Arabidopsis thaliana: one gene and its partners. The protein of the gene in region 2 binds, or shares a complex with, the protein of the main gene of each other region. Each region holds a gene or a part of one and is shown on either strand. Other genes may lie near its edges.

Region 1 (3,910 bases), about 28 Mb from region 2:
GAACCCGCCGCCGCCTTGTTACACCGCTCAACCGATGATGTACCATGGTGGACACAATCCTTTACACCGGTGGCCCATATCCGCAGCCTCGAGAAGCCATTATCCCCCGTTTTCGATGGGGGCAATGCATGGACCATATGGTGGTTGTGGACCTTGTGGTGGTCCAATTGATCCATACCAATCCATGCCTCGACCCAGAATGTTCGATGGTGTTCACATTTCACAATATCCGCCTATGGCTGCAGCATATCCGTATATGGCTGCAGCTGGTCCTTTCCCCTATTGGCAAACCAGACCGTACATGGATGCAAATCCTATGAAGCGTTACACTACCTATGCAGAAAATTACTCCTATTTTTATTCATGAGTCTATGTTTTTCCTCTGTTTGCTTCATCTCAGAAATAAGAAACTAAATTAATGACAAGAGTTAAGGTCCTATTGCTGCTATGCAAACAAGAACTCATATTACTTTATATAAGTTCCTTCTTACTGAGTCTATATGTTTTTCCTCTGCTTGCTTCATCTAAGAAAGGGAAAAACTTAAGTAGTGACAGCCTGACAAGAGTGAAGGTGTTTCTAAGTAGGCTTTAATAAGCTTTTCATTTGAACGAGGAAAAGAAATTAAATTATCCATTGTTAATAAAATGGAACAAGATTCATGGCCATACCATTGGCTCTACATCAGGGAAATATTCATTATAAAGCCATTACGCCGAATGAAAAGTATTCAAGTTTTGGAGATACAAAGATATTTCAGAATCAGCCACCCCTAGCTTCTCTTCTAGCTGCGTCGTGAAGCAAATCAACATCGACTCCATCTTTAGGTAACTGCACGTACCTTACCACAGATCCTCTGATGAAACAGTTTCTCACTGAAAGCTACACAGAACAAACACACAAATCCGTCAGCTAAAAACATCTTCGGGAGGATTCTAGCGAAATTGTACTATTTGACAAGGTTTCTAAAGTGTGACACTGACAAGATAAAGAAATACAGTGCCAAAGATATAACAATATAAACGCCATAAAACCTAAATGCATTGAAATTGGTCATGCAAACATATTGCAAATCTTTTGTAATCCTGAGTAGACTTGACAAATTGCAGTACAAAAGCAGCAATCTCAATCAAATATGTGAACCAGAACCACTAATCACTTCAAATCATCCCTTTGCGTCTGTAAATCTAATCAATATCACGTTAGAGCTTCTCAAGCTTGGTCACAGTAAATGAAAGCAAGGAAAAAGAAAAGAGTGAAGGCTTAAACACATTTGCAAGAGCCAAGGATTAAGCTTTCAATCAGTTCATAAGTGATATTTTACAATACGAGACAAAGAAGTATAGCAAGAAACTAGCGAGTGAGATCAATTCCAGTATAATGTCAAACACTTAAGAGCACTTCAAGCACACACAACAAAGAAAATATTGCCTATGTGAACAAAAAAAAAACAATAGGCTGCTCCAATAAACCCTAAATTCCCAATTCTTAGAGAAATCGCTTAAAAGAAAGAAAATTTACCATGTGAGGGTACTTGTCCTGGTCAACAACCCTAGTGTTCTCGAGCTTGATATTCAGATACTGATCAACTGAGTGAAGAGTTCCTCTTATGGCTAAATCATTCTTCAGCTCAACCGTCACTTCTTGTCCAACCAAATCCTTGAAGTAAGAAAAGAACAACTGCACCAGAGAACAAACACAATCAAAACCCATCACGAGAAACCCTAAATCATCATCGAAAACCATAAACTCGAAATCTCCAAGAACCCTAGAACCATTGGCTAAAAAAGAGTAAACCCATGAATAATTACGAAGAAAGAAGAAACCTTTTCTAGGTCAAACAAAACAACTGCCAACAATCAAGTTCATGAAGATGAAGAAAGCATTCAAATTTACCATTTTTGTTTCCTGCTGATTTCTACCTCTGCTCGCAATTCAACAAAGAAGCTGAAAAAGCTTTGCGGGATTTGAGGACTTTAGAACTTCTCTCTCTCGAGTAAAGAATGTATGTACCCTAATGATCTTTGGGTTAATTTCGAGAATATAAGAAACCAAAGGTATATTTATGTAATTATTGAAAAGATTGGGTATGTTCTTGGTAATTTAAGTAATAAGTGCCTCAAAGGGTAAATATTTAAAAACTCAAAGTGTGTTTTGGTCACCAGCCAAAACTGAATAAAGAAAAGATTTACACAAATCTTATAATATCTGACGCATATATAGGCGAGATTGCTGACGATAAGCTTTTTCGTTTTGTTTCCATGGTTTTGTGACGAAGAAGAGAAAAAAAAATAAGAAGTCAGTTTTTTCTCAATGGCTTCTCATAGCTATTCAACACTTAGGTTTAGTCTCCTTCAAGAGCTAAGAAGCAACGAGATCATCAAGGTCAGTTTTTTACTTTCTCTGTTTTAAAACACTTGGGTTTAGAATCTCTCGTTGAATTCTTGTCCTGGTTCTGTCTTCTCCTTGTTTGGTTCTTATGTCTATGAATGATTCAGACAAGCCGGGCTTATCTGGTGAATCCTGGAGGAAGAAAATATGAGATATTACCGGAGAGCTCCTTTAACCTGAAATCACAACTCTTGGAGCCATTGAAACCTTTTTCTTCTTTTAGTAAGTCTAACCACTTTTTGGAGTTTGATTCAACCATGATGAAGCATAGACTCATGGATGTTCATGGTATGTGACTTTGATCAAATTTCAGTTGAATTCACCAAATTGTAATCCCTTTTTTCGACTGACATGAACTGTGGTTAACAGAAACTGGACCAGACCCTGTGTGTTTAAGCTTGGGGATCACTCAGCAGTATGCAAGAAAAGAGGAGGTGTTAGAGTTCCTTTTGTCTAGATCAGAAGAAGAACTCAAAGAAGAAGGATTCGATTTGTCTCTCCTATCTGAATTGATGGGTCTAGATGCTTTAAGATCAAGTTCTCAGCAACCATATGCAAAGCCGTTATTGGATCTCATGGTGGATGCTAACATTCTGTTCTCAAGTAGCAGAGCTGAATTGAATGATTTGGTCTCTACGGCAGCTGAGTTTCATAGATTAAGGAACTCAACAAGATGGAGAAAGCTCTCACGGCTTGTCCCGCAGTTTCAGCGGTAGTTAATTCTTCACTGCAAGTTTGATTCATACCTATGAGTCTCATCCTTTTGGGTTTAACATTAAGTTTTTGCTCTCCTCTCATTCTGCAGATTCGACAGTGAAGTACCAATAGACACTCTGCAGCTACCCGAGGACGCAGTTACACTAGCTCCTCCAAAGAGGTATCTAATATCATCAACTAGTTTTTGGTACTTTTGCATCTTTAAAAAACGTTTCTTTCGATTTCCAACAGTCCGAAGAAAACCAGGCTCAAGCCTTCACCAAAGAAACAAAATCCGAAGATAAGAGATAAGGAATATGACCTCTACGAACGAAACCGTCTTCATGCGTGTGAGAGCCTTCTCTCTCTGATGATAGGCAATGAACAACATAGAAAAACCACAATGCTATCTCTAAAGAAATCACGTGGAGAACTCTTCGAGCTTTTGACTCAGTGTTCAATTGGCTTTGCTGGCACTGGTATGGCTGTGCTCTTCTTTCTCGTTTGTAATGTTGCTTCCAGGCAGGTACCCTTTTGCGCAAACCAATTCTTCGAGGGTGCAATGAGTTTGAGTTTGGTATTGCTCTCGTGGTCTGTGAGTAGACTCAGGGAAGCCCTTGTTAATTTCAATAGGAAAACAATCAACGAAGAAGAAGTCTCAAATAAAGTGGAAAGAAGAATCAAAGAAGTTTACTTCAGAGCTGCCACAGTTATTGCCATGGTTGCACTTAGGTTTGGTTGAATGTTGGAATGCTGATGATTTGGAGTCTAGTTTCTAACTCCATTCTTTGGCTTGCTTAAAGGTTAATTTGTCAATGTTAGGTT
Region 2 (3,593 bases):
GTTTTGACCATCACTACTTAACAAACATAGTTCATCATCTTCACTCATTGATTTCTTTCCTCTGTCGACATTGTTGTGACGTGTATCCATAGTATTGTTAAAGCCTGAGTCTTGTCGAGAATTTGGATGGTGTTGTTTCTGATTCTGATTTATAGCATTTGGACGAAGATCTCTCATAGAAGAAACTTGAGAATCAAAGCGTCCTTGCGAGCAATTTCCTTCCATTTCTACAGTTTCCAAAAGAAAAATCTGAATCAGAGAAAATAAAAATTCAGTCTTTCTCCTCAAAATCAAACTTTTCTTAGATGGATTTCTCCAAATATGAAACCTAAATCATCCGATCAAAGTAAGCTTGTAAACAGAGCAATCGCAATCAAACACTACGAATTCGATAAACTATAAAACATCGCTAACAAAAGACGAAAAAAAAAACTTATCTTTAGAGAAAATTTCATGCTAAAACTAAACGGACCTTTTTAAAACGATTGAAGACGAGAGAGTCTAGGGTTTTAGAGATGAGAGTTCAAGTAGAGAGACGAAGAACTCTGATCACTGAGACAATGCGTGTGGCGGACAAAACATTTAGAGGAAGAAGAAGAAGAGAGTCTTGTTTCTAAATCTTTTTTAGTGACAAATCACAAAAGTTATTTATGTCCAATGTATCAGAAGATATTTGGACCCACCATTTCTTTTTTATTTATTTATTTACGATTGATTTTGGTAGTCACTATGGGTAGAGTATGAATTTGAATTTTGAAATAACTGAAATTTATATGTTTTTTTATATATTAAAAGATATGATTGTCAAGGGAAATCTAAGTATTAGTTTTTTTTTTTAAACTTTTTTTTTTTACTTCCTTATTGAATCATTAATACAACATTTCATGATTCATTACTAAATCCACAATAAGTTTTTATACTCTTACACGTGTGCTTATTTTGTAGAAGCGTTACAATTCACATTAAAAAGGTTAAAAAGTGTATATTTTTTTTTTTTTTAGTATCTTATCGAATTATTAACAATAGTGTCGTTCTTCTTCTATATTGTTTAAATTTATGTTATCTTAGTTTGGACATATAAATTTATATTAATTTAAATTTAGTAGATACAATGTGAGTTTTAAAAACACAATATTGTAGAATTTCATCACCAAATCATGTCCAAGTTATTATACTCTCGCACATATATTTATTTTATGGAACCAATAAGTGTTACAATTCAGATAAAAAAAAGTTATAAATTTATATATAAATATATTAAACTTAAATTTGTATATAGTGATTAAAAAGTGATTGGTATCACGTTTTAGAAGATACCATATTTGGTTAAAAACATTAGTCACAATAAATGATTCTATTTTACACGTATGCTTACTTTGTGAAACTGTCAAGCGTTACAACTCGAAAAAAGTTGTGAAACGCTTGTAAGTAGAAAACAAACGAATCGAAGTACAAAACGTCAAATTTAATATCTTAATTTACATTTTAAAATTAAAATCTAACATTAATATTTGTTTACTGAAATATCTATACATACAAGACCTCAACTCAATTTTCTCAAGGTAGAAGTAGAACCTAGCTAGTAGAACCCATTGATAATCTTTGAAATAATAAAATATGCCGATAGTTTTGAAAAAAAAAACATTTTTTCGCCAACGTTCGTTTATGGGCCTAATATTCTGTTGGGCTGTTGCCATATATTTGTAAAATCTTATTCGTAGAACAAAATTGTTAAGTTCGTGTCCGCGAGATCAGAGTTTGTGTCCGGTTATACGATTCGTCGGTACCAAAACCCTCCGAGAAGTGTTTCAGGTGGGAAGGTATCTCTGTCTACACGATGTCCGGCGAGGAAGAAGCCACCGTGAGGGAGCCACTAGATCTGATTAGGCTGAGTCTCGACGAGAGAATCTATGTCAAGCTCCGGTCAGACCGCGAACTTCGCGGCAAGCTTCACGTACGTTTTCTTGTGCCCTGCTTAGTACCTTGAACTTGTCACTACTTAAAATACTCGTTCCACACATAGTTCGTTTGAATTTTGTAACTTTATTTTGCCGATTTCACTGTTTTGGTGTCGAATTTGGTCCTTTTTTGGGGGAAAGTCTAGGGTTTTGATTTTCAAGTTTCAGTTTCTAAAAACGTTTTCTCGAGTTATGGCGATGAGCTTGCAATTGGGAATTTATGGTTTGTGTAAATTTAATTTTGACAAAGTTCTTAAATTTTGGAAGATTTCTACACTCTTGAGTTACTCACTTAGGTTTGATGTTGTTGTTGTTGTTAATTCTTTGGGCAGGCGTTTGATCAGCATTTGAATATGATTCTGGGTGATGTTGAAGAAACTATCACTACAGTAGAAATCGATGACGAGACATATGAAGAGATTGTTCGGGTACGTGCTTTTTCTTACTCAATAGTTAACTTTATAGGTATTTGAGGGGGATCTTGATGAGTTTCTATCTCAAGTTAAGGATATTGTTAGAGAACAAGTGTACAAGTGTCTTTTAGCTTTCACTATATACAGAAGTTTCAGCTCAATGTAGAACATTTACTTAGACAAGAGATTATATCCTACACGAATCTTATTGTTCTGGAAGATATAAGCTATTGGATCGAAATTAGGAAGGCATTTCCATGTAACTGACTGTTTCTAGTAGAGAAGTCTCTTTCTTTAAGCTTCTTAGGCACACACATATTAGTTGTTGGGACTCCTCTAGGCGGGCTACAATTCTGATCTGATTAGGATAAGTGGCTTTTGTCTCTCATGTATGTGATTAGTTTTGTTTACTATCTCTGATTGCAGACTACAAAGCGGACGATTGAGTTTCTATTCGTGAGAGGAGATGGAGTGATATTGGTGTCTCCACCGCTGAGGACAGCAGCCTGAGTTCAAACTCAAATCTTTTGTGTCCTCTTTTCGTAAGGGGAATTTGTGACTATTCTTGTATTTAGTCACTTCTTGTCTTAACTAAAACAAGCTTGAAGAAGCTACTTTGCTTAAATTTCCAATGCTTTTCAGATACTTTGATCGTGTGATATACTAATTACAACCCAATTATCTGAGTTCACAAATAAAGATAAGAGTCTGAAAAAGACAGACAAACAAACAAAAAAATGCACCAGGAACAAGAGAATTATGATCATTTACGTACAAATAAACGGAGAAGAAATTATTAAATAAACAAAGTTGGTCTCTTATTATCTTCGTCTGGGTCGGGCATTAATGGGAGAACCAGATGATTGTGAGCCTCTGTAGTTTCTGCTTGGAGAATCCATTGATCCTCTAAAGGAAGAGTAGGTAGCTTTGGGTAATGGAGGCGTTGACTCTAATGGGGCTGACTCTGCAAAGCATGCTGTGTTCACACGAGTTCTCTCCAACTCTTGTTGTAGCAATTCGTTTGAACACTGTTTCGTTAGAGCCTGTTCACGAAATAAAACAAAATGATCAAAATTGAGGTTTTGATATTTGATCAAATCTGTTGAAAAGAGAAAGGAAATGTATGTGTTACGAGGAGGTCATCTGCTGAAACAGATTGCTTGTCATCTGAAACTGTGTCTTCGCTGCCACGAGTTGGTCTACGATTATGCCCTGGGGTCTC
Region 3 (4,006 bases), on a different chromosome or scaffold from region 2:
TATAACATTGCAACAAGGAAGAAAGCAATCATATCCTACTTTGAGTATTTTGATTGAAGACAATCTTACTCTTTGTAATAGTTCATTTGCAGTTTTGCTTTTGTCAATTCTTCAAATTGCCAAAGAATCTAGAGAGTGGTACAGGGCCATCGGTTTCGTGTTTACTTTTGCTAGAGTGTTTGTCTCTGCTGGACTTGTGCTTCTTCTCCTTCTTTGATCTTTTCGAACTTGATCTTGATCTTCTAGATTCATCTTCATCACTGCTAGATGACGACTCTGAGGACGAATAATGCTGCAAATTCATAACACAACCGATCATGGTTCATGTTAGCATAAGCTAGAAAACCTCACACTATCTGATATAAGCTAAACTTTTAGAAGGCACCTTTCTCTTTTTGCTTTTCTTCTTCTTTGAATCTCTGTCTTTCTTATCTGCGAGGTCATTGAACCATTGGCGACCAGTTAATAACGTCCTCAGAAAGAAGGTTTAGATGTCATGTTAAGTTAAGTGGATTATGTTTACCTTTTCGTGACTTATCACTAGAATAGTTCCTTCCTTTGGAGAGTTTCAACGACCTTTCTGCATCCAGCTGAGCTCTATACTCACGCATCAGTTTATCGGTATCTGCTTCAAGTTCTCCCTTTTTCAATTCTTCTTCCTACACATGTTACACGAAAGAAAGATATAATGTTAAACATTTCCTAATGTTCCATACTCACAATACAGAGAGACTGCTGCAAGTAGTAGTAAAAAACTGATATTGCAGATAATAAAAATGTTTAAAAAATGAGCATGACTAGAGTTACTTGAAAACCGCGAGATAGGGATAGATGTAATGTAGAAGGAAGACACACTCATTTTTATATAAACACACAAAGACTGCGTATCTGTGGCTGAAGATGATAAACAGCAGAGGAAAAGAAAATGATATGTTGGAATAAAGCTTCTAAATTGACGACAATAATAGCAATCTTATGAACACTAAATCATCAATGGTCAATTGATTATCTTCTATGGCATTATAACAAGGAACACCGTTCCATACAACATACAGAAGAACTTAAGTATTAAAAAGGCAAAAAGATTACCTTTTGCTTCTGCTTATACTCTTCCCAGGTAATAGTATGTGTAGTCTTGAGGCTAGCCAAACGAGCCGCATGCCACTCTGGTGTATGAAATGAACCATCCACCTGAGACAATCCTCATCAGAAATGTTCCGGTACCAATGCAAAATATCAAAGTTTGACTAATCCAAATGCTTCTTTGTGTTCACAGCTTACAACAACAATAAAAAGACTCTTGAATCACTGTAACACAAACTCTGATGCTACACTTTTACGAAATCACATTTAAACATGGACTTGATATCGTCTACAAGACCTAGCAGGTATTAGATACAAGTTCTTCCCCCAAAATTGGGACTCATAAAGGATCTCTTGTAGGCTTAATTCTAAATGCAGCTCGATAACCCAACAACACAAAAGATCAACAAAACCATAAGTAAATCAACCAAATTGGAATTTTGTTTGGAGAAGTAAAAAAAAACAGAATCAATTTGCAATGAAGAAGATGAGAGTATGAAAAGGTACAAACCATTCCGTCTTCAACCTCATCCGGCTGGGCGGAGCTGGAACCAACCCTAGATCTCTGCATAGCCTTGTAAGCTTGATTCTTCCCCATAGCTAATAGAAGATTTACCCCACAAGAAACAGTCCGCAAATTCCTTGCAGGAGAAAGAGAATTTAGAGAGATTGAGAGGAATTGTTTGTAAAATCTAGGGTTTGGGGGATTAACGGTCCAAAGGGAGAGGATTTAGGGATCTGTAGAGAAAGCAAACGAGAGAGAGACGAGAACAGAAGAAACTGTGAGGTCGAACCGAAACGCACTGGAGATTTAATTTCACCCTCCAAAGTAAAATAATAAAATCTATAAGGACTAATGTTCAATTATTATTAGTTTTAATATGAAAACTCGATCGAATCGAAATAACAATAATCATATAGTATATAGTTTTGGAAATAAATAATAAAAGCCCTTAGGACCGATTCGTTATTTCTTCGCTCTCTCTTTCTCTCTGTGTCTCGTACTCGAGTAGGTCTCAGGTAAGGAGTTCTTCTTTCAGTTCCTTTAATCCTTGTTAAAGTTTCGATTTCTCTTTACATTTTCAATCGAATTCGCTTCTATTGGGTTGAAGGTTTAGGTTTTTAGGTTTCGGAGTCTTTTTGTGATTCGAGAGATTGACTCTGAATGGTTTTTACCTTTTGAGTTTTTGTAGTTCGAAGAGCGACCAAACTGATTTCAGATCTCAATTGTTTCTGCAGTTACGTAAAGGATCGAGCTTAAAAGATGAGTGGAGTTGAAGAGAAAGTTTCTGGAACGACAAAGACACCTGCAGATTTCCTCAAATCCATCCGTGGGAGACCCGTTGTTGTCAAGCTCAATTCTGGTGTTGATTATCGAGGTGCCTCTCTCTCTCGTTAGATGTTCTTATGTGTTTTGCAAGTTCTCTATCTCTGCTGCACTTTAGGTTAGAAGCTTTGACTTAGGACTAGTTCTTTTGTCTATGTTAAGGGAATTAAAGAGTTGCTTGTATTAAGCCCACTTAAGTAACTTAATTATCATGTTATGTCTTCAGCTTTTAAATGATTCTTTTAAAGTCAATATGTGAAGCTTTTCTTACATTTTCTAAGGTTTCCTTGTGAACATTGTTCAATGGTTTTCTTAAGAACATGTTCCTTTCTGCCTGCAATAAGGTTACAATAGTTGACTGAGATATTTGAATATTTAAGTCAGTTTCTCTCATTATCAAGGCTACTTATATCATTCTTGTTGACTTCTTTCCTTTCGTGCCCGAGTCAGTTTTGTCTATGTTCTGTTCAAGCTTAATGTTGAGTTCTTGATCAAGTTTTTATTACTCTTTTCACAGGCACTCTTACTTGTCTTGATGGATATATGAACATAGCAATGGAGCAGACGGAGGAGTATGTAAACGGGCAGCTCAAGAACAAATATGGTGACGCCTTTATCCGTGGAAACAACGGTAACTAAAATCTCTCACACTCATCCTTCTCTCAATCTTCTTCTTTGTATATCTTTCTTTTTAAGTGTGGTTTCTTTGGATGCAGTTCTTTACATCAGTACAGTAAACATGACTGTAGCAGACGGAGCCTAGGCCCATCATGATCATCAACAACAACAACAGTGGTCATGTTATGGCTGCCATTTTTGTTGTCTTCTTCTACCTCATATTAAAAGAGTAGTAGACATGTACCAAGATTGTCATCCTATGTTCTTCAGTAGATTTTTGGGATACAGACATCACTTTTTTCTTAGTAATATGATACTCTTCCATGTGACCCCAGATAAAGAAGAAAAATTATTAATTTATGGCTTGATACAATCATACAAGCAAACAAAATTGAGTTTGGGTGACCAACAGATCGAAACGAGGAAGATCATTAAAGTTTAGTAATCGAATTATGTCATTTAGGGATCACTGGAAACACACATGTCAAACTAGTATAACCAGTCAATCATCAGATTATCATATTCATAGCCATCGACACATTTGAATCAGGAGTTTCCATTGAAATAAAACGCTCAAGATATCATTCTTGGCGTAATGTTATTTTTAATCTTCAACCTCTTTTCACATTACTAGCAAAAGGTCTCGTATTCTTAGCCGCTTGTATATGTAAGTAGCCTGCTTATGTCTAAGCAGCAAAACATGAAGTAGAGCTTCTCTCAATAAAACTCTCTTCACTAGTATTAAAAAGTCTATGTGTGTCTTAAAATCATAGTATTATTTCCTTCAGCTTGATTCTTCTTCCGTTGCATTTTCTTCTGGCTTGCTTCCCAATCTCCCCAACCTTACAATGTCTTCCACCATAATTCTTCCCTCTGTTGAATAACAGATTTATAAAAAAGATCAACTTCAGGGAGATAAGAGCTCAAGAAGGAGAGGATCGCTCTGTTCTTTACCTTTATCTTTGGAGAGACTACTGA

Evidence for each region.
Region 1: LSM3B (region 2) and LSM2 share a complex: the UniProt entries of both Arabidopsis thaliana proteins name them as parts of the heptameric LSM1-LSM7 complex.
Region 3: LSM3B (region 2) and LSM6A share a complex: the UniProt entries of both Arabidopsis thaliana proteins name them as parts of the heptameric LSM1-LSM7 complex.

What each region holds. Positions count from the first base shown.
Region 1 is NC_003070.9:817,401-821,310, forward strand, and holds LSM2 (Small nuclear ribonucleoprotein family protein), read right to left. Parts: upstream 2,164-3,910; 5' UTR 1,898-2,163; coding exon 1,895-1,897; intron 1,679-1,894; coding exon 1,520-1,678; intron 881-1,519; coding exon 761-880; 3' UTR 534-760; downstream 1-533. Other genes in the region: AT1G03320 (uncharacterized protein), read left to right, coding at 1-367; AT1G03340 (uncharacterized protein), read left to right, coding at 2,312-2,383, 2,497-2,677, 2,759-3,101, 3,195-3,266, 3,338-3,827. UniProt on the Arabidopsis thaliana protein: Component of LSM protein complexes, which are involved in RNA processing. Component of the cytoplasmic LSM1-LSM7 complex which is involved in mRNA degradation by promoting decapping and leading to accurate 5'-3' mRNA decay.
Region 2 is NC_003070.9:28,853,882-28,857,474, reverse strand, and holds LSM3B (Small nuclear ribonucleoprotein family protein), read left to right. Parts: upstream 1-1,724; 5' UTR 1,725-1,837; coding exon 1,838-1,954; intron 1,955-2,290; coding exon 2,291-2,386; intron 2,387-2,797; coding exon 2,798-2,881; 3' UTR 2,882-3,061; downstream 3,062-3,593. Other genes in the region: AT1G76870 (transcription factor), read right to left, coding at 1-225; SEC5A (exocyst complex component sec5), read right to left, coding at 3,193-3,414, 3,504-3,593. UniProt on the Arabidopsis thaliana protein: Component of LSM protein complexes, which are involved in RNA processing. Component of the cytoplasmic LSM1-LSM7 complex which is involved in mRNA degradation by promoting decapping and leading to accurate 5'-3' mRNA decay.
Region 3 is NC_003074.8:22,094,494-22,098,499, forward strand, and holds LSM6A (Small nuclear ribonucleoprotein family protein), read left to right. Parts: upstream 1-1,975; 5' UTR 1,976-2,103; exon of another isoform or gene 2,104-2,322; 5' UTR 2,323-2,347; coding exon 2,348-2,462; intron 2,463-2,927; coding exon 2,928-3,041; intron 3,042-3,126; coding exon 3,127-3,173; 3' UTR 3,174-3,473; downstream 3,474-4,006. Other genes in the region: AT3G59800 (stress response protein), read right to left, coding at 104-292, 386-432, 524-659, 1,090-1,191, 1,595-1,681; LETM1 (LETM1-like protein), read right to left, coding at 3,796-3,899, 3,983-4,006. UniProt on the Arabidopsis thaliana protein: Component of LSM protein complexes, which are involved in RNA processing. Component of the cytoplasmic LSM1-LSM7 complex which is involved in mRNA degradation by promoting decapping and leading to accurate 5'-3' mRNA decay.